Pelodiscus sinensis: one gene and its partners. The protein of the gene in region 2 purifies or fractionates together with the protein of the main gene of each other region. This does not show direct contact. Links are inferred from orthologs where the notes say so. Each region holds a gene or a part of one and is shown on either strand. Other genes may lie near its edges. The genes, in order: CRCP, protein POLR1D and POLR1E.

The links.
Region 1: the proteins of protein POLR1D (region 2) and CRCP purify together in Homo sapiens (affinity purification with mass spectrometry; 5 studies listed by BioGRID and IntAct, with this or other methods). This does not show direct contact. The link is inferred for Pelodiscus sinensis from reciprocal best matches to the Homo sapiens genes POLR1D and CRCP.
Region 3: the proteins of protein POLR1D (region 2) and POLR1E purify together in Homo sapiens (affinity purification with mass spectrometry; 3 studies listed by BioGRID and IntAct, with this or other methods). This does not show direct contact. The link is inferred for Pelodiscus sinensis from reciprocal best matches to the Homo sapiens genes POLR1D and POLR1E.

What each region holds. Positions count from the first base shown.
Region 1 is NC_134731.1:20,054,472-20,060,017, reverse strand, and holds the start of CRCP (DNA-directed RNA polymerase III subunit RPC9), read left to right. Parts: upstream 1-2,164; coding exon 2,165-2,224; intron 2,225-5,546. UniProt on the Homo sapiens protein: DNA-dependent RNA polymerase catalyzes the transcription of DNA into RNA using the four ribonucleoside triphosphates as substrates.
Region 2 is NC_134711.1:300,348,945-300,354,490, reverse strand, and holds the start of protein POLR1D, read left to right. Parts: upstream 1-2,264; 5' UTR 2,265-2,406; coding exon 2,407-2,432; intron 2,433-5,546.
Region 3 is NC_134716.1:788,508-794,053, forward strand, and holds the start of POLR1E (DNA-directed RNA polymerase I subunit RPA49), read right to left. Parts: upstream 3,852-5,546; 5' UTR 3,748-3,851; coding exon 3,684-3,747; intron 2,023-3,683; coding exon 1,919-2,022; intron 1-1,918. UniProt on the Homo sapiens protein: Component of RNA polymerase I (Pol I), a DNA-dependent RNA polymerase which synthesizes ribosomal RNA precursors using the four ribonucleoside triphosphates as substrates.

The DNA of each region.
Region 1 (5,546 bases), on a different chromosome or scaffold from region 2:
TTTGGTCCCGCACCTCCAGTACTGGGGCTATAGCTTTGCACTCTTCACCTCTGCAAAAAGTTGACACACGGCTTTGGTTTAGCAATAGAATGTATTGCAATGTTACAATCATAAGGTGCCAATAATAATTATTTTATAATGAAGGGCTCCCAACAATAAAATAAACAGTATTCTATAAAGAAAAATCTTTTCAGTAATATTTCACGTAGAACTAGGGCTGTGAAAGGTTAACTAGTGAGGTTTACTGGTTACAGTTAACCAGTGGGGGCTGGAGCAGCCCCCCAACTCGCAGCGTGCTTCTCCAGCCCCCCACCGGGGCCTGCCACAGGAGGGAGCTGCTCCAGCCCAGCCAGAACAGCAGGCTCATGCACCCGCAGCAGGGGAAAGGAGATGCTCCAGCTTAGTCACAGGGGTAGAGGGGCCACTTTAGCCCAGCCAGAGTTGCCTTCATTTAATGGTTAAACATAAAGTTTAATTAACAAACTAAATGGGACTTTACATCCCTACTTAGGATTGCAATTAAGGCCATCAATAATTCTCTAAGGCAGTCTAATGCATTACTAAGGCCAGGTCTTCACTAGACCCAGAAGGTTGTCTTAAGGTACACAACTCCAGCTATGTAAATAATGTGGAGTTGGCATACCTTAAGCCAAGCTTGGTGCTGTCTTCACAAAGGGAGTCTGAAGGGAGCAAAGGCTCCTGTTGGCTTCCCTTACTCCTCACAACTGTGTTTCATTATGTTGTTCAGTTTAAAGTCCAGCTAGCCTGGCAAAATATAAACTGCTTGCAAAAAAATCCCAACTCTGAGCAGTTTGTTTGCCACCTATTGGTACCTGAAAAGTTTGGGCTGTTGTGCCCTGGAAGCCCCTGAACTGTAGACTTGAACATAATTTAAAAATCTCATTCTTCACAGAACTACATCCTGCAAACCTTGTGTTTACTGCACATAATCATCTTATTTTTTTAATTGGATGATTTTATTTGTGATTCTTCTATGTCATTATCTCAAGGAATGTCCCCACACCATAGGGGTTTCCTGTGGAGACTGAAAGCAAAGATTCCAAAGAACTGCATTTGCCAAATAAACAAAAGCAATATGGTTTGTAAAATATGAATGAAAACTGGTGTGTGTGTGTGTGAGAGAGTGAGTGAGAGCACTTACTTGCGGAAGTTTCTCTCAATTAAGTTTAGAAGGTCCCTTTAATTTAAAAACAATAATAGAACCCATGAAAGTTTGTAGAAGGCATTAAACTTATTTGAAGGAGATGAATGTGAGAGTTCCATTTAAAAAGTTGGCTGTCTGACACTATATTGTGTCTTTTTTATATGAAGCAACTCAGGCACCATGGGAAAAGTCCTTATTTTGTTTTGTTTGATAACTTTTTGTTGTTGTTACTACTGTCTGTTCAGCATAATGCGTTGCTCTGGTGAGGTATAGTGCTCTTGCCTATTTTTTAAACATAACATTTATTTATGTATTTTAAAATATAATTATAGTATTTTTTCCCAATTAAGAATGTCCTAATTAAGTAAATTTGCATAACTCAGAGCAAACTTGTTTAGCTTAACGATAGTGAATGGCAATTATTTTTTTTGTTGATGGGGATAGAATTATTATACATTTCACTTAATAGGGAAGCATTTGGCAGGTGTTGAGTGATGGGAAACTCTAAACTTCAGTCTGCTAATATGGAACTTTTCAAATAAACATTAAAAGAACACAATAAAGATGAAATTTAATGACTATTATTCTTTCATTTGCGTTCTGTGCAGTATGCTTTTTTTTAATAATCTTGTGTTAAGGGTCCACCTTCAGGGAATTTTTCACTATGATTATTTAGGATGTTAAGCCAGTCCAGGGGCTGTCCCAGTTAAGATGATTCTGTTGTGCAAGTTAAACACTTGATGATACAAATATTCTTACACAAATTAATTAATTGTGTAAGAATATTTGTAATAGCTATGTTTGAAGTTTGTGAAAATAAGTAACTCCTAAAGGCAGCAATAGCTAGGAATTGTAGAGGATTTAACAGAATTAAATCTTGAAGATTTTATTTAAAAAATTCTCAGAATTTACTGAAAAATGTCCGTCTCGTCCCGTCCCGTCCCCCCCCCCCGATCAGTAAAAAAGAGAGAATGGATTTGTGACCGTTTCTTTTGAGACATGCATAATTTTCTGTTTTTCAGGAAAGATGCAAATGCTGCATTGCTGAGTAACCTTGAGGTAAGTTAATTTGCTCCATGATTTTAAACTGACAACTTAACATCATCACAGCGAGTCAAAATATATTCTTTTTGATGTCAATGAAAACATGGACCAGAGCAGATAAAAATGTCTCCAAGAAATCTGGGAGACCTGTTTGTGACTTTTGCTTTTTCACATGTGGATTTCTTTGTTTTTAATTAGCTTGGTAAAATGGGGGCTCTCATCCTGGTTTAAAAGGTGACTTAGAAATGATATTATTGGCACTGTTTGCATGACAAATATGAGCAGGGTTGGATTAGGGATGTAAGCAACTAGTTGACTACCTGATAAGCAAATGCTTATTGGGTAGTTAAGTAGGAACTCGACTAGTTGCTCCCCCCCACACTTGCTGCCTTTATCAGAGGGATGCAGCAAGGGGGCGGGGAGAGCACCGTCTACGTGGGGGGGCAGGAGAAGTAGAAGGCATCGGGGAAATGGCACAAGTGGGGATCGAAACAGTCCCACTCGTTCCGGTTGGACTGCTGCTCCTCTCCATTTGAAACGTACAAGAGCTACCTGCGGATTCCCGCTACTTTTCCCTTTGAAATATAACATTTCAAAGCAAGAGGCTCAACAGGATAGCAAGCACCCCCCTTACTGACTAATCGAATAGAAATTCCATCAACTACTCTATTAGCGAATTAATCGAAATTTAACATCCCTAGCTTGGATCCCAAATCAGTAATAAACCCCCAAATGTTAGAATTGTGTGTGTTCTTAAATCCATGAGAAAATAGTCCTTCAGAACATTTTAATTATCTCTCTCTTCATTCACATGTTTATGTTAATTTTCTGAATATCCTTACTTTGCATGTAGTATTCGTAATCTAGGGTTTGATTCTCCACTCTTTTACACCAGTTTTTCATCTGGGAAACTTCCCTGGTTTCTTTGCAGTTATACTTTTTACTCATCAGGCCCAAAATCTTTAAGTTGTCAACTTTGTATCCATAGAAAGTGATGCCTAAGGCCAGGTCTCCACTAGGGGGGCAAAGTAGAAGTAAGGTTCACAACTCCAGCTATTTGAATAGCATACCTGAAGTCAACATACCTTAGTTCGACTTACCCCATCATCCCTACTGAGGGTGTCGACAGGAGAAACTCTTTCATTGACTTCCCTTACTCTTCATGACCTGGGGGAGTACTCGGGTTGACATGAGCGTGACCGATGGTCCATTTAGTGTACCTTTATTAGAGCCACTAAACTGACCTCTGGGAGATGGTTCTCTGCAGCATTGATCTCCCAGTCAGTGAAGACAAGGCCTAAATGGAAAACCAGTTTTAAGAGAGAGCCAAGAGAATTATACATATAAATCAAAAATGAATACTACAAAAAATAGAAACATGGACAAATTGCTAAGTATGAGTACAGAAGAATAGCACATGCATAGAAGGACAAACTCACAAAGACTAAGAGCCAAAATGCATAATTCGTAGAAGAGGCCATAAATGGCTGTAAAAAGAGGCTCTATAAGTAAAGAGTGAGAGAAAGACGAAGGAAAGTGTAGACCCAGTACTTAGTGGGAAGGGGAGTTAAGAATGGATGCCATTAAGAAAGCTGAGGTGTTAAATGCCTATTTTATTCACTCTTCACTAATAACGTTAATAGTGAATAGCTATTTAACACAGTTAATATTAGCCAGGGGAAAGGTGTGCGAACATTAGGTAAATTAGGTGTATTCAGGTAAGCAGGGCCTGATGAAATTCACCTTAGAATTAGGGAGCTAGATGAAGCAATCATTAGTGATTATCTTTGCGAGCTCATGGCGAACAGGTGAGGTCTCATATCTGGACAGGTACAGAATACTTATCTTTAGAAAGAGGACCCATATAAAGCAATAATATCAATATGTGAAAAGATGCTGGAATCAATTATGTAAGCACTTACTGGATAATGAGGTAATAAATAATAGCCAACATGGATTTGTCAAGAATAGGTTGGTCTGCCATGATTTGATTTCTGTCTTTGAGTTAGTGACCTAGTGGATGGGAAGAAGCTGTAGGCATGATATATATTAGGGTATGTCTATACAGCACACTTATTTCAAAATAAGCTATTCCGGAATAGTTATTCCGAAATAGTTTTTCGAAATAGCACATCTACACTGCAGGGAAGCCTCAAAATTAGTCCAAACTAGGCTTCCCTAATGTAGATGTGCTATTTTGATTTAGAGCCCCTGGAGGCACTGAGGAGGAATAACTTAGAATGGCCTTGGTGAGGAGCTATTTTGAAATAGCAGGAGTGCAGAGTCTCCATATGCTTATTTCAAAATAACTATTTCGGAAAAGGCATTTTTCCTAGAATGAGGTTTGGGACTTCAATCACCCTGACATCTGTTGGGAGACCAATACAGCAGTACACAGGCAATCCAGGAAGTTTTTGGAGAATGTTGTGGGGATAACTTCTTGGTACAAGTGCTGAAGGATCCGAACAGGGGACGTGCGCAGCTTGACCTTCTGCTCACAAACAGGGAGGAACTAATTGGGGAAGTAGAGGTGGGTGACAGCCTCGGAAGCAGTGATCATGACATGGTAGATTTCAGGATCCTGACCAAAGGGAGAAAAGAGAGTAGTAAAATACACACCTTGGATTTCAGAAAAGCAGACTTTGAGTCCCTCAGAGACCTGATGGGCAGAATCCCCTGGAATGCTAACATAAAGGGGAAAGGAGTCCAGGAGAGCTAGCAGTATTTTAAAGAAGCCTTATTGAAGGCACAGAAAGAAACCATTCCAATGTGTAGCAAGAGAAGCAAACATGGTAGGAGACCGGATTGGCTTACAGGGGAAATCCTTGGTGAACTTAAGCACAAAAAGGGAGCTTATAAAAAGAGGAAACTTGGACAAATGACCAGGGAAAGCTATACATGTATAGCTTAAGAATGCCGGAGGGTTATCAGGAAGATGAAAGTGCAATTGGAATTGTGACTGGCAAAGGATGTGAAGGATAACAAGAAAGATTTCTACAGGCATGTTAGCAAGAAGAAGGTGATCAGAGAGGGTGTGGGGCCCCTATAGGATGAAGGAGATAACCTAGTGACAGATGATGTGGGGAAAGCTGAAGTACTCCATGCTTTCTTTGTCTCTGTCTTCACGGACAAGGTCAGCTCCCAGACTAATTCGCTAAGTTACGCAAGATGGGATGAAGATGGACAGCCCTTGGTGGGTAAAGAACAGGTTAGGAACTATTTAGAAAAGCTAAACGTACACAAATCCATGAGTCCGGACTTAATGCATCCGAGGGTACTGAGGAAGTTGGCAAATGTCATTGAGGAGCCTTTGGCTATTATCTTTGAAAAGTCATGG
Region 2 (5,546 bases):
AGCTTGAAGCTTGTCTCTAGTTTCTCACCAACAGCAGTTGGTCCAATAAAAGGTATTTTCTCACCCAGTTTGTCTCCCAGTAAGGGACAGACTCACCCAACCTACTAGTTTCTAACATGGAGAATGGGCTGAGACAACTATGGGGAGTAGCAGGGGGAAAAAATCACTATTTTTCCACACCCAATCTTTAATTCAATTGAGAACTAATGTAGATTGTGGATACTTTTCTTTACATAAATAAAGAAGAAAACTTTAAACTAATTCAGAACTTCTCAGGTATGCCTATTATTAGCCTCTATAAATGCATGTACTTTTAGTACAGTACTATGTGGGGACAGGAGTACACCCAAACAAATCAGATTTCAGGTACTGTATCATTTTATGTGTTTGCACAATGCGGCCCTAAACCTGACTAGAACCTTAGGGCACTACTACTATAACATACATACATACATACACACACAATGGTTTTCCAGGGAGAGGGGAAACACAATGGGAGATGGGTGAGGAGCTATTACTATCAACACCCTCCTCCCATCTGCCACTGAGTGGGGACTGGGAGAATTGTACCCACGTAGAGGAGAGAGTAGTCATCATCATCATCATCATCAACAATCCTTCCACACATTCTCCCCCCCCCAAACGTCCCCTGTACCCGAGAGAGGGGCGAGGACCCTCCCTCGCACACAGCCCCTTACGAAACAGAGCTGGGGAAGAGACTGTTTCCCTGCCTTCCGATCTGAGGGACACTCACTTTCTGTTGTCCTGAGCTCAGCCTGTTACTCCCCCGGTCTGAGGTGAGCCTAGCGTAGCTGCCAGTTAACACGAGCACACGGGGGTGGAGGTGTCGGCACCAGCCAGCCCGCAGAGAAGAAGCGGGGCGCCTGGCGAACCACCGGGAACGGCGGCGCCTAGCAGCGAACTTACTCACCCCACCGGCTGCCGCCGCCTCCAGCCCCGGCTCAGCACGGCGCCCGGGTCCAGCTCATCCCGCGGCCGGGGGCTGGCTCCCTGCCCCCGCCCGGCAGCTCCGCCTCCCGCTGTCACCGCCGAGCTCCTGGCAAGAGTCAAACGGCCAACTCCGGGCAAGGACTTCGCCGCGCGCCTCACCTGGGCGGGCCGCCTCCTCCGCCGGGCCGCACCGCGGCCCGAGTGACGGCGCGGCCCAGCCACTCAGCCGCCAGCCGGGGGCCGGGGAGGGGGAGCGGAGGAAGCACCGCAGCCTATGGGAGCTGGGCCGGGGCGGGACCCGGCGACGACGGTCGGGCGCTGGGCTGTCCCCGCCGCTCGCCTGATTCCAGCAGGCGCGCCCTGGGGCAGCGGGGCAAAGGAGTGTGAGGGCAGGAGAGACGTAGAGGCGGGTCGCTTGATAACGGGAGGTAGCGCATGGGAGAGGACTGAGTGAGGGGGGAGAGCGAAAGGACAAGCAGGAGCGCTAGATACCTGAAAGGGAGGGCTTGTTTCTCTTTGCAGTCGCCCCATCCTACCTTACCCCAGAGAGCTGCGACTAGCTACAGGCCTCGCTGCTGGGAACTACGCTTAGCTTTCTTCGCAGGGCGCCCCTGTGTGCTGGGTTACATGCCAGGCGAAGCCGCAGTTGCAATTCCCCTTTACAGCCCGGCGGTTGCATCGTGTTTATGCATCGGGTGCATTCTCACTGCTTGGTCAGTGGCAAGTGAGTCACTGCAATCCCACTCACCAGCCTGCTGCCGCCCCCCGTGGGGATACCCGCGTGATCAGCTGGCAGCCTCTGTAGCATCACTGTGCACAGACTGGGGGGCAAGAGAGAGGCGCCTGCTCTGGGGATGGAGGTTTTGAGTTAACTGTTGGGATTTCGCTCTGGGACACATAACTCAGCAAACCCCTCTGCGCCGGTGTTTGGAGCGGAAGAGCCTAAACACGCAGCAATCCCCAGCCTACTCCACATCTCCAGAGGGGAACCAACACACACCAAAGGGGGTGGGCAGAGCCAATGGGCACCCGGCGTAGCGCGGCCTCCTCACGCCTCCCCAGTGGGAAGAACTGGGGTCGGCGAGGCCACGGGGGACCCGAGCACCCACTTCCAGCACCTGGGGCAGCACCAGGAGCTAGGTCTGGCGGAGGGTGGGTGGGACACGAAATCGCTGCCCGCTCCTGTAGGAGCGGAGGTTCCGGGCACCGCTAGGGCAGGGAGGGTGAGGCGGCGGCAGCACTTAAGAGTACGCGCCGCCCGCTTCCTTTCTAGCTCCGGCTTGCTCCGCCCCTCCCGGGGTCCTCGCAGCGCTCGCCCCGCAGCTCCGCCCCTCGCTCCTCCCTGTCCTCAGCCGCGAGCAGTAAACGGGTCGGGCCTGCACCTGAGCTACTACTGCGCCGGTGTCGGTGGCCTAGCGGGGGCGGCGTCGCATCGCCCTTCTTCCTGCCGCCGCCATGGAAGAGGACCTGGAGCTGGAGAGGTGAGAGGCCGGGGCGCGTGTTCCCGGGCACCGAGACAGGGCCCGCTGTGAGCTGCCGCGCCTGCCTGGCGCAGTTGTTCCCTTCCCCGGCCCACTTCAGCACCGGGAGATGGGGGCAGAGGTCAATGCAGGGATGAAGAGTTAGAAGGGTGGGGGGCGCCTTATCTAGGCAGATCCCTCTTCAGTTTTGAAAGTTTACTTCTGTACGCGCCCCTTGACAACTCCCTGGTGGGATGATCACTCTTGTGCCAGGCCTCTGGGGGACGCAGCCCCAGGAAGGGCTAGTGCTGGACTCAGTAAGAGGCCCATTAGTTATGTCGGTTCCCTCCTTAGACTGGCAGAGGCCAAGCTAATCTTCCTGATTTAGAGCCCGTCTGCTGGATCTGTTGTGGGGCATGATATAAATTATCTGCTTCAACAGGTAATATTTGTAGTGCTTCGGGACCATTAGAGAGCCTTTACAAGAGAAGTGGATCCTATTGTCTGTTCATTGTTTATTGTCTGTTTGTTGTTCATTGGTGCTGATGAAAGTGTTTAAATTTTCCACTTTATAACATTACATGCCATATAATAAAAGTTTATTTAAAAAAGGGGTGGCTTCATTTAAGTGGATGCTTCTGGTTTCACTTACCTAAACATCAAGACATCATGGTTTGGAATATTTGGGAGAACAGGGTTCCCAGTTTACAGTACACAGACTTACACACAGGAGACCTTTGACTTCAGTTTGAGAAATAGAATTGGTTTTCTATTCCTATTACATCAAATATATTTTACTTTTACCTGTCTTAGATTGGTGTTGAACCATACAATGTATATTACCAAAAAAAAAAAAAAAAATTAAGACTAGCTCATTCCATGTACTGCAAGTATTCTAGGATTGCAGAGGCTGCTGTTCCAGTTATAGGAGCCCTTCCTCTACCTGTTGCAATATCATTCCCCTGTCCCAAGACAGTAATCTGATTCCCAAGTGGATGTAATCAGAAGAGTATCTTATCACAGGGAACTCAGATTATTGGTGAGAAAAAATAGGTGTAGTGAAGATACTGCTGACTTCCAGTTGAATTCTGAAATCCTCTATAGGATTGGCTCAAATTACTTCATTGCCTCACTGAATCCCATGATTTGATTATGATCTCCTGGAACAATATAATTGCCAACGTTAGAAGTGAGACTAGTGCGCTCAGAAGACTCGTTGGAAACCTGGCCCATGACTGTGGAATTTGCTTCTGGGAAGACTGAACCTCGGTGTCTTCAGAATAAAATAAAAACTCAACTTTTTTCAAACCTTATTTTGTTAAGGAAAGGCATACTTGTATAAATTAAATTACCCCCCACCCTTATTAAATGAAGAAAAACAGGCGATTTTCTATTTTCACTTTAATAAACTTGGGTTGCATGCCAGTACCTGTTACGGCTGCAGCCAGATAACTGTGGAAGTTGCAAAATTAATAAGCCCTGTTTTGTTAATTGAAACAAAGCCTAATCTCTGACTGTAATTATTATAGTAAACTTGTGTTTACATTGACAGTAACAACTTTCAGGGAGAATAAAATGACAGACACTTTGCATTCTGTTGGAATGAGATCATTCATTCTGCTACGCAAATTGACCCATGTCATACCCAAAAGAATAGTAATAGAGAGGTAGCTGTGTTAGTCTGATCTTGCTAAAACAAAAGGAAAAACTATGTAGCACTTTAAAGACTAACAAGATGGTTTAATAGGTGATGAAACCTCAAGTGCTACATTGTTTTCTTTTGGGTATAAGAAAAGGAAAAACTTTCAGTTTAAATCCAGGTTCATTTAGTTGATTATTCAGACATAACAGACCTGTGTTTTACTTTCTGGTTTGGAAATGGACCAGAAGCACTTACGTTATTGGTAAATCTTGTTGGTGTTTGTTGTGGAATTGTATGAGAGTAATGACTGAAATAACAGTTCTGCAGTATGACTTGTCAACACTACAACTAACCCATGTGTAACAGATTCTCATGTGAGATTACCTGTTAGCAATATGTCTAACAATGATAGCGGCAATGAAAGCTTCTCTCACTGCTTTTCCAGTGTATCTCTCACCCAGTTAGAAAGTCCTAACTCTGTGGTTTCATTTACAAAAATAACTTGTTGCCTCCCCTTTCTGCCTCCAACTGATAGCGTAGATGAGACAAAGATAATATTGTGTTGGCTGAAGTGAAGTGATAATTGGGCCTAAGAGAATGTAATGATCTATTTATCTCCATAATTCTTCAGTAAAACACTTGTCCCCTATGATGTTAAAAAAACAGCTAGTATGGCACGTCTGAAATATCAGACTAAATAAGCATATGTCGTTGTGTCAAGATTTTATTGGAAAAATGTAGTGACCACATTAATTGCTGTAGTAAATCTAAACTAGACCATCATAACTTCTACATGTGCCTCAGTTACAGAAAAGCTATTTTAGGGATTTGTAGAGAGTTTTTAAAATATTTATTTGAGCTGTTTTTAGGTACAGGTTGGACTTCCATTGTCCGGCACTCTCAGGACCTGAGTGGTCCTGAACCAGGGAGTTTGCCAGACCAGGAGAGGCCAAGGCTCCTCTCTGGGTTGTGGGGTCCCTGCAGCCTGGGCTTCCTTCCCAATTGCTGGCCCCCTGCTGTAGCTCCTGGGGTCAACCTCCTCAGGCTGTGGCTCTCCAGCTGCCGCCAGTCATACTTCTATTGGGGTTCCCAGCCAAGGCCAGGGATTCTCCCCGGCCGCTGCTGGCACCACTGCCACCAGGATTCCTGGCTTGGGATTCCTCCCAGCTAGCACCAGCTCTGCTGCCACAGAGGTTCCTGGCTGGGGATTCCCCCTAGCTGGGGATTCCCCCTGGCCAGCGCCAGCTTTGCTGGTGCTGGGGCTCCCAGCTAGGGCCAGGGATTCCTCCCAGCCACCACTGGGGCTCCCCAGGGCTGGACTCCCCACCTACCGCAGGACCAGGGCTCCCCAGAACTCCCCTGGACTCCCAGCTGGGCTTGTGCTCCTGGCCTCTGGGGCTCCCTGGTCCAGAAACATCCATGGTCCTTCTGGACTTAAAATAGTGTATTCTTAAAATTGTACATTTAATGTCTGTTATGGACACTTCCTAGAT
Region 3 (5,546 bases), on a different chromosome or scaffold from region 2:
TTAAGCACCAGCTCCTCCTCCCACTGCCTCTGTATCAGAGGCAGCGGGGAGAGGGAGAGGGGGAGAACTAGTTGACTCAACTACCCGATAAGCCATGTTTATCAGGTATTTGACTAGTTGCTTACATCGCTAGCAAAGACTAGCTCTATTTTGTATTAGGGGTGCTGTTAACCACATGGCCTAATAGAGACAGTGTGTGCAACATGCAACAATCAGTATTACCTTCAGGATCCATGACCGTGTTTAATTTGCTAACCTTAACTAGATCATTGCAATGGTATTTTGCATTTAACCGAGGCAATTCACACTTGCGGTGTACTGCATTACTGAACCCATCAGCCCTTACAGTAAGTGGCATTCAAAATCTTGAAATACATTGTCAGTCAGCTATCTGATGTTAGGTTCTTTGGAGTGCCCTGACAAAACCAAACCTGCCTTTCATACCCCTCAACGCTCGGATACTCAGCCCTGTTCCTAAAGGTTACACTGACATCTGGTGGTATTGCAGACTCCAGACCACAAGCTTTGCAGAGAAGGGAGGTGTTCCAAGTGTCAGCATGCAGACTAGTCCTCCTGGCAGACAGCCGGCTCACTGAAAGCTCTTCTCCCTCCCTCTTGCCCCACTCTTGTAAGCAGCCGTGTAAATGGAAAAGCTGGTGCTCCCACCTTTCCTGGAGCCAATCTGATTTCTACTGCTAAGAACAGCCTCTCCGCCACGCGAGTGGAAATAAAAGTCGAGGCGTGGACAGAGTCTCAGAAAATACCAGAAAGTGGGCAGGATAAAGGTTGGGGGTTGTGTTTTGATTGTAATTCACATGGAGGGGTCATTGGCTACTTTCACCAATTTGGAATCTACTTATTTTTTATGATGGTTAAAAACTGTTTCAGTTACTATGCCCGCTTACATCGTACTTAAATCCCTCTCCTAATTTATGACGCTTAACAATCACATTTTTAATGTTTTCCTCTCCACTGCTGGCGGAGCCCACTAAACACCTGTCCAGCCAAACCCACTGACGGGGCCCAAAACCAACAGTCCAACTAAAGCCCTGTTCCTGCAATCGGTTCCATAGCAGCCTAATCTTAAACAGCCCCACTGGAGAAAATGGGGCTCCATGCCTATCTCCTTACACAAAAGAACCAGTGAATAACTGTCTATGAAAGGGGTATCAAAGGCAAAACCCGAATACAGAGATTTTCCTTCACGCCAGGATCACAGGAATTTACAAACTTGGATGAGACCCAAAATTCATCTAGTCCAATATCTGTCTGCAAATGTGGGCAGTGCCAAATACTTTAGAGGAAGTCTAAAATAGCAGATGAGAGACAAAACTGCCACCACATTCGAGCTCTCTTGATAGCTTAAAACCTGAAGCAAAAGGTTTAACAACTTCTAAAATGTGTTATTCACTGTATCTCGATACATTCTGCACCCATACAGCATCTTTAATTTCTTGTAATCTTAGGTGTTATACTTGTAAACAGTAGCAGCTTATAAAAATATACATAATTTTTTTGCGTCTAGGGTGCATCTACACAGCACTGTACACAAAATAAGATACGCAATTTGCGCTATGCAAACTGTTATCTTATTTTGATTCTATTTCAAAATGGTTTATTTTTAAATTTGGTGCATATAGACAGTGCCAAATTTTGAAATAACGTGCTATTTCGAGACATCCCTTAAACCTCGTGGAACAAGGGTACAGGGATGCCGAAATAGTACGCCTGTTATTTTGAAAAATATTTCAAAATAACAGATGACTTGTTAAGAGGCAGGGTAGCAAATAGTGCCCCTTTACATATATTTCAATACTTCTTGGCAAAAATATCCTGGTTCACCAAAACAAATAGCTAGCAATAACCAGGAACCTGATATATCACTGTAGAACTCGGGTACAATGACAGACAAACTTACCAAGATTCTTTGATGTTTCTTTCTGGGATTAGTAGCGTCATTGTTTTTGTACAAAGTAAAATCCATGTTTTCAGAATTCTGCAGTTTCCCGTTAGAGAACTGAACTGTAATACATTTGTAAGGAAAAGCATTTGAAGCAGTGCAGATAATTATATGTTCAAAACAAAAATGTTGGCAACAGTGCCGAGAGAAGCTACTTGTAACAGGCATGTAAAATGCTGTTTAAAAGGTTAACCGGTTGAAATACACATTTAACTGGTTAAAAGGATCACCACAGGCAGGGGGCTACTCAGGCCGGGTGCCACTTAACCAGCTACCAGTAAGCATAAGGGTTGTGCTTACCAGGTATCCTGTTACCCTTTTACAGCTCTAGCTCTTAATGAGAATTTCGGGGAGCCTGAATGAGCTCAGAGTTAATTTCAGAATACAAATGATTTTATTCTGGAATAATTACTCCCCATTGGAAACCAGCTAATGATTCTGGAGTAAAACGACTGTTCTTATGGCCCCAGGAAGTTATTCTGGAGTATCTACTGTGGAATAATTGACCCTGAAATGGTTATTCCAGTCAATGTCCAACCATCGACAGAGCTTATTGTACCAAGACTGTAGACCAAACAGAGGGCTGCTACCATCCTACATCTGAGACGTCAGCGAGTTGCCCCCTAAGATGGCAAGGCTTGATGCTAAAGAAGGATGTTTTGACCCATGATTTGAAAGTCTACTATTTGCCCCAGCCCAGAGAAGGGCTCGCTTAGAGCTGTGCAAACACAGTCAGAAACAGACCCTGAAAAGGAGACAATTTCTCCATCCCTGACCATTTTGAAATCCAGCTAGAATTATTTCTACCCAAAAGCTCTGCTCTAGGAGTTAGTTTGGGGAAGGTCTCTGGCCTCTACTATACAAGGGGTGAGACTATGATCAGAGTGGTCCCTTCTAGCCTCCGGATCGGTGAATGTAAATATGTTGCCAGTTCCCTGAACAGGACCTCAGCACTGGGAGACAATTCATACACTGTTCCATGCACCCCGGGGCTGCAGACTGCAAAGGGATCACTCACTCACATGCTCCTTTGCTTTCTAGCGGCACGGTCTAAACGCACAACCCACCCTGTGCTAGGTGGCAAAGGCAGGCCAGCGGCCGCCCCGCAGAACACTGACCTCCAGCTGCAGTCCTCTGTGGCGGGCTTTCATTGGGGGCTATTTTGTCATTTTTAAGCAGCTAAAATGCTGGTTTTTTTCTTGGACTCCCCGCAGGTTAAAATGTTGTCAGGCCTGCGCAACCGGAGCCCAGCGGCCCTTGCCAGGCCAGTGCAGTACCAGCCATCCCGTGCGCACAAGGCCCCCGCTACCGGCTGGGCCAGGCCACCTCCACGGGGCAGGCTTCCCCCTCGCAAGGGCGGCTCTGCAGCCTGCCCGGGGAGAGACCCCCAGGACTCGCTCTGCAAGCTCAGGGCGGGGAGGGGGCTAGCAAGGATGAAACTCGCCCGCCGAAGTGGCGCGCTGCTGGCGAGGCACAGCCGGGACGCGCTGCTGGGGACGCGCCGCCCTGCAGCGGGGGGCCCGCGGCACATCCCGGGGCCTGGGCTGCAGCAGCGGGCGAGAGCCCCGGGCAGGCAGCGCCCGGTACATCCCCCCCCCCGGTACCCGGCTCACATCCCCCCGCTAGCGGCACCCGGCGGAGCGCACGGGGCGAGGCGCAGCCCGGAGCGCACGGGGAGCCGCCCCGCGGGGAGGCTGGCTGGGGGCCGGGGCGCGGCTCTTACCGAGCGGGGCGCTCTGCGCCTCCAGGGGGTGCCCCCGGTAGCTCCAGCTGGCGGCAGCGGCCATGGCGCAGCTCCTCGTGGCCGGCTGGAGACGCAGCCGCGACCGCCGCCTAGAGCCGGGCGCTGAGCGGAGCTGGCGCCGCCCCCGCCAGCTGCGCGGGGAAACCTGGGCCGGGCCCGCGTGTGCACGCACCTCCCTGCAGAGCGGGCGGGGTCTGGCATCCACTGGGGGGGGGGGCAGGCTTGTAAATAGCGACGTAAAGGGGTGAGCTGAGCAGCCCCCCCCCCTCGGTAACTGGGGGTCACCAAATGAAATTAATAGGCAGCAGGTTTAAAACAAACCAAAGGAAGTTTTTCTTCAGGCAGAGCACAGTTAACTTGTGGAACTCCTTGCCAGAGGATGTGCTGGAAGACCAGGACTTTAACAGGTTCCAGAATAGAACTAGATAAATGTATGGTGGCTAGGGCCGTCATGACTATTAGGCGGGATGGGTAGGGACAGTGTCCCTAACCTCTGTCAGAAACAGGAATGGGTGACAGAGGAGGGATCACTTGATGATTCCCTGTTCTGTTCCCTCCCTCTGGGGGCATCTGGCATTGGCCACTGTGGGCAGACGGGGCTGGTCTGACCCAGTATGGCCATTCTTATTCTTACTGTAAGCACTGCCTGACCAGCACGCTTACCGGGTTAACTGTGCCCAGCTGTGCTGAAGAAACCTGGCTTTTAACCTTAAATGTATAGTTTAGCCAGTTAACATTTTAAATGGACTTTTACATCTCTACTTCTGAAGACCTTCCTAGGACTGCCCGCTTACCACCTCATGGCAAGAATGACAGAACAGGTACAACTTAAAAAACAACAAATAGACTAGTGACACCTTAAAAACTAACAAAACATGTAGAATAGGAACAGCAAGGAGTTCCAGGGCATACAGACTACCAAATTTACTAGCGCTGCAGCTCACTTTGTCAGATGCATGAAGCGAAAGAATCAGATGGCGGAGATATCTACATACAGGGATGGGAGTGTGACAAGTGTTAACGAGGCTAATTCAATAGGGTGAATGTAGCCCCCTTCCAACAGTGATAAGAAGGTGAGAATACCTAAAGGGGAAAATTACTTTTTGTACTGAGCTAAGCCATTCCCAGTCCCTATTCAGACCCATTCTGATGGTGTCAAGTTTGCATGTGAGTCCCAGCTCAGCAGTTTCATGTTGCAGTCTGATTTTGAAGTTTTTTTTGCTTAAGAGTGGCAGCTTTTAAGTCTGTAACTGTGTGCCCAGAGAAGGAAAAGTGCTTTCCTACTGGTTTTTGTATGTTACCATTCTTGGTGTCTCATTTGTGTCCATGTATTCTTTTGTGTAAAAATTTCAGAGGGGTAGCCATGTTGGTCTGTAATAGAAACATCTGAAGAAGTGGGTTGTGCCCACTTTGTAGACACCATCTACATTTTTTGTTAGTGCCTAAGATGCTGCAGGACCATTGCTTTTTTTTTTTCTTTTGTGTAGAGACAGTCTGGTTTGTCCAATACATATGGCAGAGCGGCTGGTGCTGATAGCAATTATTTTTTTCTTATTCTCATAGCCTGTGTTCAATCTGTCACTTTGTACCCCATGGCTGAAGGAAAATTGATAGTACAGAGAAAATAAGACACTGTATTATTTCTGTTTAAAATAAGCTGCACTATACAGGTACTTGAATTGGAGACTGCAAAATCCTTTAGGAGCTACCACTGTTCCTCCTTGGCCTATATTGCACGATGCCATTTGGGATATTACTGGCATCCATTGGAAGACCTTGGTACTGCACATTGCAAGGATAAATAGAAAGAAGAAACTCATGCGCTTACTAGAATGTGAACCT